Linked DNA regions of Arabidopsis thaliana. The protein of the gene in region 2 interacts with the protein of the main gene of each other region in a pairwise test. Each region holds a gene or a part of one and is shown on either strand. Other genes may lie near its edges.

Evidence for each region.
Region 1: the proteins of CHR11 (region 2) and RLT2 interact in a protein complementation assay, tested with the Arabidopsis thaliana proteins (2 studies listed by BioGRID).

Annotation. Positions count from the first base shown.
Region 1 is NC_003076.8:17,780,792-17,785,454, reverse strand, and holds the start of RLT2 (Homeodomain-like transcriptional regulator), read right to left. Parts: upstream 3,028-4,663; 5' UTR 2,382-3,027; intron 2,287-2,381; 5' UTR 2,284-2,286; coding exon 2,172-2,283; intron 2,081-2,171; coding exon 1,667-2,080; intron 1,587-1,666; coding exon 1,507-1,586; intron 1,407-1,506; coding exon 1,026-1,406; intron 932-1,025; coding exon 842-931; intron 761-841; coding exon 596-760; intron 510-595; coding exon 287-509; intron 181-286; coding exon 80-180; intron 1-79. Other genes in the region: AT5G44170 (S-adenosyl-L-methionine-dependent methyltransferases superfamily protein), read right to left, coding at 4,357-4,663. UniProt on the Arabidopsis thaliana protein: Transcriptional regulator required for the maintenance of the plant vegetative phase.
Region 2 is NC_003074.8:1,939,008-1,946,990, forward strand, and holds CHR11 (chromatin-remodeling protein 11), read left to right. Parts: upstream 1-1,965; 5' UTR 1,966-2,058; coding exon 2,059-2,256; intron 2,257-2,463; coding exon 2,464-2,595; intron 2,596-2,690; coding exon 2,691-2,797; intron 2,798-2,908; coding exon 2,909-3,021; intron 3,022-3,224; coding exon 3,225-3,322; intron 3,323-3,412; coding exon 3,413-3,592; intron 3,593-3,674; coding exon 3,675-3,896; intron 3,897-4,092; coding exon 4,093-4,227; intron 4,228-4,309; coding exon 4,310-4,592; intron 4,593-4,669; coding exon 4,670-4,743; intron 4,744-4,853; coding exon 4,854-5,074; intron 5,075-5,150; coding exon 5,151-5,238; intron 5,239-5,316; coding exon 5,317-5,410; intron 5,411-5,486; coding exon 5,487-5,681; intron 5,682-5,762; coding exon 5,763-5,797; intron 5,798-5,906; coding exon 5,907-5,983; intron 5,984-6,081; coding exon 6,082-6,171; intron 6,172-6,269; coding exon 6,270-6,339; intron 6,340-6,445; coding exon 6,446-6,500; intron 6,501-6,590; and 12 more. Other genes in the region: AT3G06390 (Uncharacterized protein family (UPF0497)), read right to left, coding at 1-118, 212-338, 441-700. UniProt on the Arabidopsis thaliana protein: Possesses intrinsic ATP-dependent nucleosome-remodeling activity. Constitutes the catalytic subunit of several complexes capable of forming ordered nucleosome arrays on chromatin. Involved in the formation of nucleosome distribution patterns.

The sequences.
Region 1 (4,663 bases), on a different chromosome or scaffold from region 2:
TCGTTTCTATGTATATACTGTTATTGAGATTCACATCAAAGTGGAAAAATTTAACGACAGATAAGATGGGAAAAGTCACCATAAGAAGATTTGCAACATTCTCATCAGAACCATTCCACGGCTTGACTGCAAAGGGCTTTTTCAATTTTACAGATGTTGGGGGAAATATTGCCTGCTTGTCTGAAATAATATAATCCATCAGATGAATGTAAGATACAATTCCCATAAACAGCTGAAATGAATCAGAAAAATAGATAAAATAAAACAAAATGAGTTATTGATTCACCTCTATATTCATCGAGGTTCTGTAGAGTTTCAAAGTCAAGGGCGAGCATTGAAGGCAAGCCTTTTGTTAACGCAGCAACCTCCATGAGCTCTAAGCGTTCATCTTCAATAAGTTCCATAGATTCCTTTGCGATCTTACGAGCAATGGCCCTCTCATTAGCAGCTTTAAGCCTGGCAACCTCTTTTTCTTTACGCATCTCTTCTTTTTGTCGCATTTTCTCAGCCTAGTCATAATAAGAGATGCTAATGAGTAAACAACATTTCAAGTGAGTTCTCAAGAAACTTAAATGTAGCGCATATTTCACATTACCCTGATTGTTTCTTTCTTCAAGAACTTCTCTCTTCGCTGCAACTCTCGCATCTGCTCTTTAAGGTACCTCTCTTCCTCTCTCTGTTTTTCACGTAAAAGACGTTCTTCCTCTTTCCGTCTTTCACGATCTTGCCTCTCCATTTCTTTCCTTATTTGCTCTTCTCTCTGCAAAACCAATTGACACAATGAACACAAACAACAAATACAGTTAAAAACGTATGTGCTTAGCTTAAATCAGAACAAGACCTTTCGCCTCAGCATATCTTGTTTCTCTAGTTCCCTTCGGATCCTCTTCTCATGAGCCTCGACTTCCCGAGCTATTCTTGCTTCTTCATTCTACAATGAATATATAAAGGAGAAAAAATTATGAGTACAGTTGCCAGCTATTTATACAATACAAAAAATTCGCACGAAAACCTCGTTTACAAACCTTGCGGTGTCTCTCTAATTGCAGGGCATCATCATCCTCATCCTCATTACCAACTTCTCTCTCTGATTTCACAAAAGGATCATCATGAACTTGTGCAGCAGTATCCATGTAGCTTTTCTGATACGGTGAGTCATATTCGACCAAGTTAGGCGAATAGACATGCCCCGGCTTCCCTTGATGAGTTGCAAGATTCAAATTTGGTATCTGAGGTGAAATTTTATAGTCATCCCGATGTCCAGCAGACACAGCTGAAACCCTCATAACCGAACCATCAAGTGGAACTCCAAAATGATGTGACGGAGAAACTCGTTCCGAATGATCAGTCCTCGAAGATGGCAGCTCAGGAATGAACTGATATTCACGAATAGGCCTCACATGATCCTAAAATGTAAAAATGACAAATCATTGAGAACTAACAAAAAAAGATTCAAGCATCAACAACAACATATCATGAGACAATCAATACTAATAGAAAACTAACTTTGATAGGCTTGACATCGGATCGGACATATATGTTGGTCTCGAAAGCTTGCCTAGTCGCCTTGCGATGGCTTGGCATCTCTGCAAACATTATAGCTAATTAAGCAACATTTCTATCGATACTAAGAAGCAAAATATAGTGTTGTATAGTAGTTATATACCAATAGGCATGCCAAATGCACCAGGAGGTAAAGGATCAAACTCCATTCCAAGAACCGGTCCGTTATCTCTCAACCGCTCTCCCAATTGAGCTTCAACATAACCAATAGCTCTAACCTCAGCAGAAGACGGTTCATTAAACCGCCTCACAACCGTCACACCACTACCGCCACTGCCTCGAGCAGCTCTTCTAGAATCAAGCTCATTTCCCGCCACTAAATCACCGGCATTGACGGGTGGTTCCCAGGATTCCATAGCCGTTGGAGTTACTAACTCCTTACGCTGACGTTTGCTCGGCGTAGTAGATTTCCGTTCTTTAAGCCGCCGGTGACAAAACCACATCTGTAACTGTCTATCGGAAAGATTCAGTTTCACTGAGAGATCCGCTCTTATAGCTTCCGAAGGATAAGGCTCAGCTGAAAATAAAATTAAAACACAAAACTTTCACTTATAAAAACACAAAACAGAAACTTCATATAAAAACAATGGAGGAAGACAGAAACAAACCTGAATAAGTGTTTTCAAGAACTTCAAGTTGAGCAGCAGTTTTCATTTTCCGTTTAGACTTACTCTCACCACCACAACCTTCAGGTGTTGTTTTTTCAGACCCACCTTCCATTTTCTGCAACAATCCCCAAATCCACAAAATTGGAAACCCTAGAAATTACAAAAACTAATGAAATTGATTTCAGTCATGGGTAAGAAAAAAATACTTACTTGGGCTGATGAGAAAGTTGAAAAACAGATCAAAAGTATGAGACTTGGTCGGAAATTTTGGTGGAGAAAGATTAGGTGTGTGTCAAGAGAAGAACATATCTGAAGAACAAAGGGTTTGGATTATTGTTTATGGTTTGACGAAAAAGAGGAAGAAGAAGTAAAGAAGAATAAAAATCTGTCCACCAAAAGACCAAAAAGAAAAAACCTTTCTCTCTCTACTACTAAGAATGTGATTGGGAATTTCACAAATAAAATCAAAAACATTAAACATTTTAGTCTCGCAATATCGACAAGATCATTAATATAAACCGAGAACAATTTTAATATTAAAAGAAATAAAAGATGAAATCGTGAGAAGAAGAACAGCAACAACAATCGAACGAACGAACGAACAACAACAACAGTGTTTTGCCTCTGACTATTCGTTTCTTTCATAATCATGATTTTTTTCTACTTTTCTTTTTTTCCTTCGAAAATTTATATTGAAAAATAAAAAGATATTTGAGTTTGTGAATTGATTGACAAAAAATTTTAATTTAAGACTTTGAGAGAGTTGTTTGGTGAATTGTCAGATTCTTTTCTTTTTTTTCTTTGGGTTGGTTTTTGTGAAAATCGAGGGAGTTTGATTCAGGGCTCGCGTTTCTCTCTCTTTGTTTCTCTCGCTTTGCATTTATCAAATTTAATTTTAAAATAAATATATTTTTTCTTCTTTGGACTTGTGTTTTGTCGCTTTGTGTTTGGATCTTGGACCTGACCGTTGCCCAGTTCATGTAATAAATCCAACCGCTTACTTTTTTTTATAGTAGTTTTCACTGATTTGGTTCTATAAAGGCCCATTATCCAAATTAGCCCATAACTAAGCCTGTTTATTAATTTCTTTTGTCGTCCAATCGATTCATTTTTTTTTACTCTGATTTTCCAATCTTCATAAGAGTAAACGTGTAGTTTGGAAGAGAGAATATATTTCTTAGTGAAAATGATTCTAGATGCTTTAGCTACGACCTTAGCATATAGAAAATGTGGTTTAGCTCCCCCTTTTAATCATCATGAACTTCAAATTGTAATAAACAAGATTAGACTGATGCCCATTAAGCTTGAGAAATATTAAGATAGAAATTGAATAGCTCATGAAGAGCTTTATTATGCAAAGAACAAAGAAAGATGGAAGTGTTTAAGTTTGATTTCAAGAACAATTTAGATTTTGATTATATTTCATAAATTGTTGAATGTGGCTGCTCAAAACGGCATATTTGGTTACTGTCATCAGTGTCTTACACCATATACATATATATATGAGAACTGTCATCAGTGTCTTACACCATATACATATATATATGAGAACTCTTACTACAAACATCATAACATGTGCTTAGATGGGATTCTCTAGTGATAATATGTGTGCTCTAAAAATTACATGTCCGATATATAGATCATTTTTTTTCCTCTATTTTTTAATTTTGTTTTTCCTTCCATAGATTATGATATGAGTAGAGAGCTAACATTGAAAGGTGAAAGTAATACCCTGACACTTCCTTCACTATAGAAATACCATATCACGTATGTATGCGGTTTGATTTGGGATTGGCTTGTTCGAGCTGTTTCTAATCCGAACTTTGGTTCTTCAACCGCAGCCGCTCCACAACGATGTGGAATAAAACTCGCAAATACAATCACCCAATTGAGAGTTCTACAAATACATTTGTGAACAAATTTATCAGTCTAATATAGAAACACAATGTTGGTTACTTCACATATTTCTTTGGGCAAGAGAACTTACTTTGTATATATTTCAAAAACACACAACAAAACTTGTATACTTCTTAAAAAAATCGTTACAAAAATTTGATTTCAGCCTTTGTCATCTTTTAGTAGCCAATATCTAAGAAAATATAAATAGTTGAGATAATTCGAATTCTATAACAAGAAACAAATTACATATCAATGTAACAACAACATTACAGAACCAAAACTAGCTTCATGACACTGATTCAGCTTCATTCTTCTTCACCTTCTTCCTAAAGATATAAACATCAGTTTCTTCATAAGCATAATCAGAATGCAGATGCTCATGAGGAACTTTCTCAATCTTAAAAACGATGTCGCATAACTCCCAAAACAACTTATCAGCTTCCGGTGACCTAATCTGATAACCTAACAACACCGCACCATCATCCGCCACAAGCAACTCCATCGCCGTCACTAATTGCCCTACAGATTCCTCAATATACACAACATCCGCCGCAATAACCAAATCAAACGGCGGTTTCAACGCCGAGATCTGA
Region 2 (7,983 bases):
AAAACTTGTCGTAGACATTACAGATCTTGTTCCACCCAACTTCTTCGTTTCCTTTCAACGCTATGTACGCAACTCCTCCCGCCGTTCCCGTTGCAGACGCCAAAATCCCCAGCATCACCTGTTCATATATACATATTCCGGAATTATTACTTAAAACACCCTAATTAACATGGTATATGGAAGTTTCAAAGTTCCTTGTAAAACAAGTTACCATGTCTAACGAGGCTAGGTAAATGGAGAACTGTGCAGTGAACTCAGGTTTCAAGAGTAGAGAGATGGAGACAAGTGTTGATATGAGCGCATAGAAACTAGCTACCACGAGAGCAACCACGAAGTATCTGCATAGATATATAGCCAATTTAACACATTAAGTTTAAACTAGAAAACATTCCATGATTATGATCAAACATGGAGGAATTTAATTAATTAAAGAGACAAACATGAAAGCGGGCGAGTCATTGAACTCGGCGGAGACAGGAGCCGGAGACGAAACTCCAGGGAGCTGAGTCATCTCTGTCTGGTCGCTAGTCACCATTACTATAAGAGCAGTCAGAGTGGCGGAGAAAAGCAGAACTCTTGTTATAATGTCTATTTTACGACAATCTAGGAAACTGGCGGCTGATGAGGGTGGTGGTGTAGCCGACGCGGGAATCGGTTCAGATTTGCCAGTTTCAGGGTCAGGGTTCTCAGTAGACGCCATCAGATGATTCTATAACTCTTTTGTGGATTAGGTTGTGGTTAAGTTTGGACTGTGAGTTATGAAGTTGGCCGCTACATGAGATTATTTGTGAGTATATATATATAGATAGTCCCGGTGATGAGTTGTAGTTATTACCCACACGCCAAGAAACAAATTTATATTTATTTACACTATTCACTAATGTATATATACAGGAACATGAATATCAATTCATTTAATTTCTAGCTTGCATTTTTCATTGTTTAAAATTTCGAAATAGTTTTTGGAAAATTCACTAGATGTTGTAGTTTTATTTCAACGTTAACATATAATGTTTGTTACAACAAATTTTGCATGCATATCTATTTTTGATTAATAGAAAAATTAATATATTTCTATAGGTATAAGTTATGGATAATGTAGATATATACAATGGGAATGTGTTAGGCCAACCCCGGGAAGGTTGGTGAGGAAATTGGGCGACGGTAATCAAAAACAAAATACAAAAAAGGAGAGTAAAGAACAGTAGGAGTGGTTAACCAATCATCTGCATGAAAAAGGTAATTTTATACATGCTCTTAGGTATCACTTTGCTTTCTGCTTGTGGCTGCAAATCATGTAAATGGATATCTTATTTTATGTAAAAACATTAAACTGCAAGAAACAAATGTCCCAGTAGCATGACCACTTCAGCACTTCTCAAACATATTATAATGTTTTAACATGGATAAAGCTATTTCAGATACTAATCCAGTCGAAATAGAGTAGTTTTGTCTTAGCAAAATCACCAAACTTTATCTCTTGATACCAATACAGAGTGACTGCACAAGTCTGAGAACAACACAAAAAAAGTCAGACCTAACAGTAATAATATATATGAACTCATCATGATTTTTATTTCATATCTTAATAATACCTAACTGGTTTTAGTAAATCCAAATATATAAAATTAGAGATAGCTTTAACAAATTGGGGGCGATGATCAATCACAAAGATTAAAAATAGTGTAACTGGAGAATCTTTCTCGAGCAGCTCCAGCATAGTAATAAGTTGGGGAAAATATCGGGCTTGAAAGTGGGTCTTATGGGTCAGTCAGGCCCAACTATGATTAAACAAAGCCCAAATCGCGAATGTTCCAAAACAACTCTCTTGCTCAGGTGGCGGGTAATTAATTACTAATTCCCCGTTCGATGAAGCGACTAGTTACATCGTAGCCATATATTTATTCAGCTTAATCAACGGTTACAAATTACCCTGAAGCTTCGGTCGTTTTGCAATTTGTATCTAAAGTTTCACTTTTTTTTTAAAATCTTTATTTTACTTTCTCACAAGCGAAGCGAACCCTCGATCTCAAGGCGAAAGCAGATTTCGTAGCTTCCATGGCGAGAAATTCGAATTCCGATGAGGCTTTCTCGTCAGAGGAGGAAGAAGAGCGGGTTAAGGATAATGAAGAAGAAGATGAGGAGGAGCTCGAGGCTGTTGCTCGTTCTTCTGGCTCCGACGATGACGAAGTAGCCGCCGCCGACGAATCACCAGTCTCCGACGGAGAGGCTGCTCCCGTAGAAGATGATTACGAGGTAGCTGCAGGCTAATTTCGTTTTGATGGCTGTGATTTTTGAAATCTCAGTGAACTGCATCTTTTTTGTACTTGGAAAGTTGAAATTTCATTTAATGCAATGGATTCGGCGTTCGCGTCTTCCTTCGTTTGTTAGTTTTAGTCGAATTTTTGTTGAGTGAAAGTTCATTGAATGTCTGCGCATGGTGGCTCATTGTGGTATAAGCAGGACGAAGAAGATGAGGAAAAAGCTGAAATCAGCAAACGTGAGAAAGCCAGACTTAAAGAGATGCAGAAGTTGAAGAAGCAGAAGATTCAAGAGATGCTGGAGTCGCAGAATGCTTCCATTGACGCGGATATGGTGCGTTGTTTGAACTATATATTTCAGGTTTTTAGCTACTTTTCGTTCTCGTGCTTTTAAGTTCTGACGATTCTGAATCATTCCATGTGTTTTAGAACAATAAGGGAAAAGGGAGACTGAAGTATCTTCTGCAGCAAACTGAGTTATTTGCCCACTTTGCTAAAAGTGATGGATCTTCTTCTCAGAAGAAGGCAAAAGGAAGGTGTGTTAGATGCAATTTTTTCCTAAAATATCGGTTCATCATTGCTTCTAGCTTCAGAGTAAATATGATGAGCCAGGCCCTGATTTATGTGGTTTTAACTTCTACCTTCAGGGGACGTCATGCTTCCAAAATAACTGAAGAGGAGGAAGACGAAGAGTATCTAAAGGAAGAAGAGGATGGCTTAACTGGATCTGGAAACACACGGTTACTCACACAGCCCTCTTGTAAGTACCTGTATTTTGCTCTTTAGTCTAGGATTACTGTATATTAATCGTCTCTCTAGTCTCGAGCAACAAGTACAATATGATTGACATCTCCGTCCATTTGCGTAACCATACATATTTTTGTGACCTCACAGTTAGTATGTAGTATAGCGTAAATTACTGGGAAAGCTTGAGATTCATCTATTTTTCTTCTCAATCGACAGGTATTCAAGGGAAGATGAGAGATTACCAATTAGCTGGTTTGAACTGGCTCATTCGTCTTTATGAGAATGGCATAAATGGAATTCTTGCTGATGAAATGGTAAATAATTCTCCCCCAACGATCCAAGCAGAATAAGTTCTCTATATTCTGTCATGCTAATCATGAAACTTTTTTTTCCCTGTGGTCTAGGGTCTGGGGAAGACGCTTCAAACGATTTCTTTGTTGGCATATCTTCATGAATACAGGGGAATCAATGGTCCCCATATGGTGGTTGCTCCAAAATCAACACTTGGTAATTGGATGAACGAAATTCGCCGGTTTTGTCCTGTCCTACGTGCTGTGAAGTTCCTTGGTAATCCTGAGGAGAGGGTAAGTCATGAGCTGTCTGCCATTTCAGAATTTCATGTAAACGTTTATCCCAGGATTCTGAAATGTCTGCTAACTGATGCAGAGACATATTCGAGAAGACCTGCTAGTTGCTGGGAAATTTGATATTTGTGTCACAAGCTTTGAGATGGCCATCAAAGAGAAGACAGCACTTCGTCGGTTTAGCTGGCGTTATATTATCATTGATGAAGCGCATCGAATCAAGAACGAGAATTCACTCCTTTCTAAAACCATGAGACTTTTTAGCACCAATTATCGGCTTCTTATCACGGGGACCCCCCTTCAGGTGTTTGCTCTATCTTATTCTTGAATATTTGGACATTGAAGTTTTCTTTGTTAAGTTGCTTCTAATTGAATGTTGAAACAACCTTTCTTGTACGGCTCTGTTTGCACTCTTAACTTTTGCTTTTCCGGGCACTTTTAATATTTACCGTATAATGACTGTGTAGCCTGCTGTACTCATATTGTCCTCATATATGCAGAATAATCTCCATGAACTGTGGGCTCTTCTAAATTTTCTTCTGCCTGAGATTTTTAGTTCAGCAGAGACTTTTGATGAATGGTTTCAAATTTCTGGTGAGAATGACCAGCAAGAAGTTGTGCAACAACTGCACAAGGTATGGATGCACCCATTCCTTGCATTGAGTTTATTCTGTTCTGTGTGAGTCGTAGGTTAATTGCTTTCATGTATCTTTTTAGGTTCTTCGACCATTTCTTCTTCGAAGACTAAAGTCAGATGTTGAGAAAGGTTTGCCACCGAAGAAGGAGACCATACTTAAAGTTGGTATGTCTCAGATGCAAAAGCAATACTACAAGGCTTTACTGCAGAAGGATCTTGAAGCGGTTAATGCTGGTGGAGAACGCAAACGTCTGCTAAACATTGCAATGCAACTGCGTAAATGCTGCAATCACCCCTATCTCTTCCAGGGTGCAGAACCTGGTCCCCCATATACCACAGGAGATCACCTTATAACAAATGCTGGTAAGGCTAGAAATAAACTAGATCCTTCAGATTTCTGTGGAAGTTTTTTATGAAGCATCTCTATATTGTTATTTTAGGTAAGATGGTTCTCTTGGATAAATTGCTTCCTAAGTTGAAAGAACGTGATTCAAGGGTGCTGATATTTTCTCAGGTAAACGCTAATACAGAACAGCTGGATATAATGGTTTCTTACAGTTCATCTTCTCTTTTTCCTTTGTCTATGTAAAGTCTGAGCCTTATTCTTTTCTTTCCACATGTCAGATGACAAGACTTTTGGATATTCTTGAGGACTATTTAATGTATCGTGGTTACTTGTATTGCCGTATTGATGGAAACACTGGTGGTGACGAACGAGATGCCTCCATAGAAGCCTACAACAAGCCAGGAAGTGAGAAATTTGTTTTCTTGTTATCTACTAGAGCTGGAGGGCTTGGTATCAATCTTGCTACTGCAGATGTTGTGATCCTTTACGATAGTGATTGGTAAGTCTCTCATCATTGTCCACTGTAGTTTATGAACTTTCTCTTCACGTTTGACGAGTCTGGCATATTCTGGCAGGAACCCACAAGTCGACTTGCAAGCTCAGGATCGTGCCCATAGGATTGGTCAAAAAAAAGAAGTTCAAGTGTTTCGATTCTGCACTGAGGTTGGTCTCCTCTCCGTGAATTTCAAGTTAAAACAGCCATGAGAGGTTTAAAATTAATTATGTGTTGTTTGTTTACAGTCTGCTATTGAGGAGAAAGTGATTGAAAGAGCTTACAAGAAGTTAGCACTTGATGCTCTGGTTATTCAACAAGGGAGATTGGCAGAACAGAAAAGTAAGTGCGTTATACAGTGATTGCTTTATGCATTGGTTCATCTCTGACAGAATTGGTATTTATCTTAACTATGCAGCTGTCAATAAGGATGAGTTGCTTCAAATGGTAAGATATGGTGCTGAGATGGTGTTCAGTTCTAAAGATAGCACAATCACAGACGAGGATATTGATAGAATCATTGCCAAAGGAGAAGAGGCAACAGCTGAACTTGATGCTAAGATGAAGAAATTCACAGAAGATGCTATACAGTTTAAAATGGATGACAGTAAGGGTGTCACTTACCTACTATTTCCCCTATTAGGTTGTGTGAATATTGTAATGTTTTGATAATCTGTTGTTTTATTTGTTGTAGGTGCTGACTTCTATGATTTTGATGATGACAATAAGGTAACTTGTATATTTCTTTGCATAGTCTTAACTTTCATGTCATATCCCTAGCTTTGCTCTGCATTACTGATGATAAAATTTACTAATATATTTGTAAATTTGTTCATAGGATGAAAACAAGCTCGATTTTAAAAAGATTGTAAGCGACAATTGGAATGATCCCCCCAAGCGGGAGAGAAAGCGCAAGTAATGATTACTTCTGTCTTATACATTGTGCAGTCCTATTTTGCCAGTCTTCATATCTAAAAGAAACATCCCTTTTGTTTTATCTACTGTATCTTCAGCTACTCTGAATCTGAGTACTTTAAGCAAACATTGCGGCAAGGTGCTCCAGCTAAACCTAAAGAGCCTAGAATTCCGCGCATGCCCCAGTTGTGAGTACCTCAACAACCTCCATCTCATTGTTGAATGCCTTTTCCCTGTTTTGATGATTTTCTTACACTAGAAATCTAATTTATTGTCCCTCTTTCAGGCACGATTTCCAGTTCTTTAACATTCAGAGATTGACCGAGTTGTATGAAAAGGAAGTACGTTATCTCATGGTAGGCCTCTCTCAAAACGAAACACTTGATTCCTTTGATGTGCTTAAGAGCGAGTTTTTTTGCCTTATAAAAGCAACTTGCTTCTTTTTGTGCTTTTTGGTTTCAGCAAACACATCAGAAAAATCAGTTGAAAGACACAATTGATGTTGAAGAACCAGAAGGTCAAGCTTGTACCCACTTTGTTAACATGTACCCACTTTGTTAACATGTTTTTCAGCAAACCTATTACTGATTAAGAATTTTTTTGTTAGAAGGTGGGGATCCCTTAACTACTGAAGAAGTAGAAGAAAAGGAGGGATTATTGGAGGAGGCAAGTGAATATGTTTGATGTTAGAGTGGTCTTAGACATTTGATTTGGTAGGCTTTAATTAATTTTTTGTAATTGTCAATCTCCAGGGTTTCTCAACATGGAGCAGAAGAGATTTTAATACTTTCCTCAGGGCTTGTGAGAAGTATGGCCGCAACGACATAAAAAGCATTGCCTCTGAGATGGAAGGGAAAACAGAGGAAGAAGTTGAAAGATATGCCAAAGTATTTAAAGAGCGGTACAAGGAGCTGAACGGTAAGTAACACCTTTCAATGCTAAGTTATGCAGTGTTTTTACATGTTTCTAAGTAATTCCTACCTCCAAAAAGAGCTTATGCTAAGTAAGTTTATCATCTTTCCCTCTAAATATGTAGACTATGATAGAATCATTAAGAACATTGAGAGGGGAGAGGCAAGGATCTCTAGGAAAGACGAAATCATGAAGGCCATAGGGAAGAAACTGGATCGCTACAGAAACCCTTGGCTGGAACTGAAGATTCAATATGGTCAGAACAAAGGCAAGCTGTACAATGAAGAGTGTGACCGTTTCATGGTATGTCTTTTTCTCGTTTCCCTTTTTGCTGTTCTGTCTCATTAATTATATCATGAAGTTTTTGACTGTTGAGGAACTTTGGTGGTGAAAAACAGATCTGCATGATTCACAAACTTGGTTATGGGAATTGGGATGAGCTAAAGGCAGCATTTAGGACATCGTCTGTGTTCAGGTTTGACTGGTTTGTGAAATCCCGCACGAGTCAGGAACTTGCAAGAAGATGCGACACTCTGATTCGACTGATCGAGAAAGAGAACCAGGAGTTTGATGAAAGAGAGAGGCAAGCCCGCAAAGAGAAGAAGCTCGCGAAGGTAAAATAATGCAATATTTTCATGTATAAGGTTGTATTCTTTTGATTTGATTTCTTTAGGTGGTTAATGCTTTTCTGGTTTTTAATCTTTGAAGAGTGCAACACCATCAAAGCGACCTTTAGGAAGACAAGCAAGTGAGAGTCCTTCATCGACGAAGAAGCGGAAGCACCTGTCGATGAGATGAGATTATGTGTTTACGGATCTGTCGAGTCTTTGTTGTTACATATAGTTAAGCTAATGTTAAAAACATAGCAAATGGATTTCATTCTGCTTTCATGAATGTTTGTCCTGGTTTGACTTGGATTTAATGAAATGACTTAATTATAATTTTGTAGACTTCTCTTCCGTAAAGAAACTGAACAAAAGGATTTGAGGCCATTGGATGGCAACTTAGGCTGAAGCTTAAGCAAAAGTTATGAGTTTCTGAGGGATATATGAACAGACGATTTTTTCCACAATTTATTACTTCTTTGT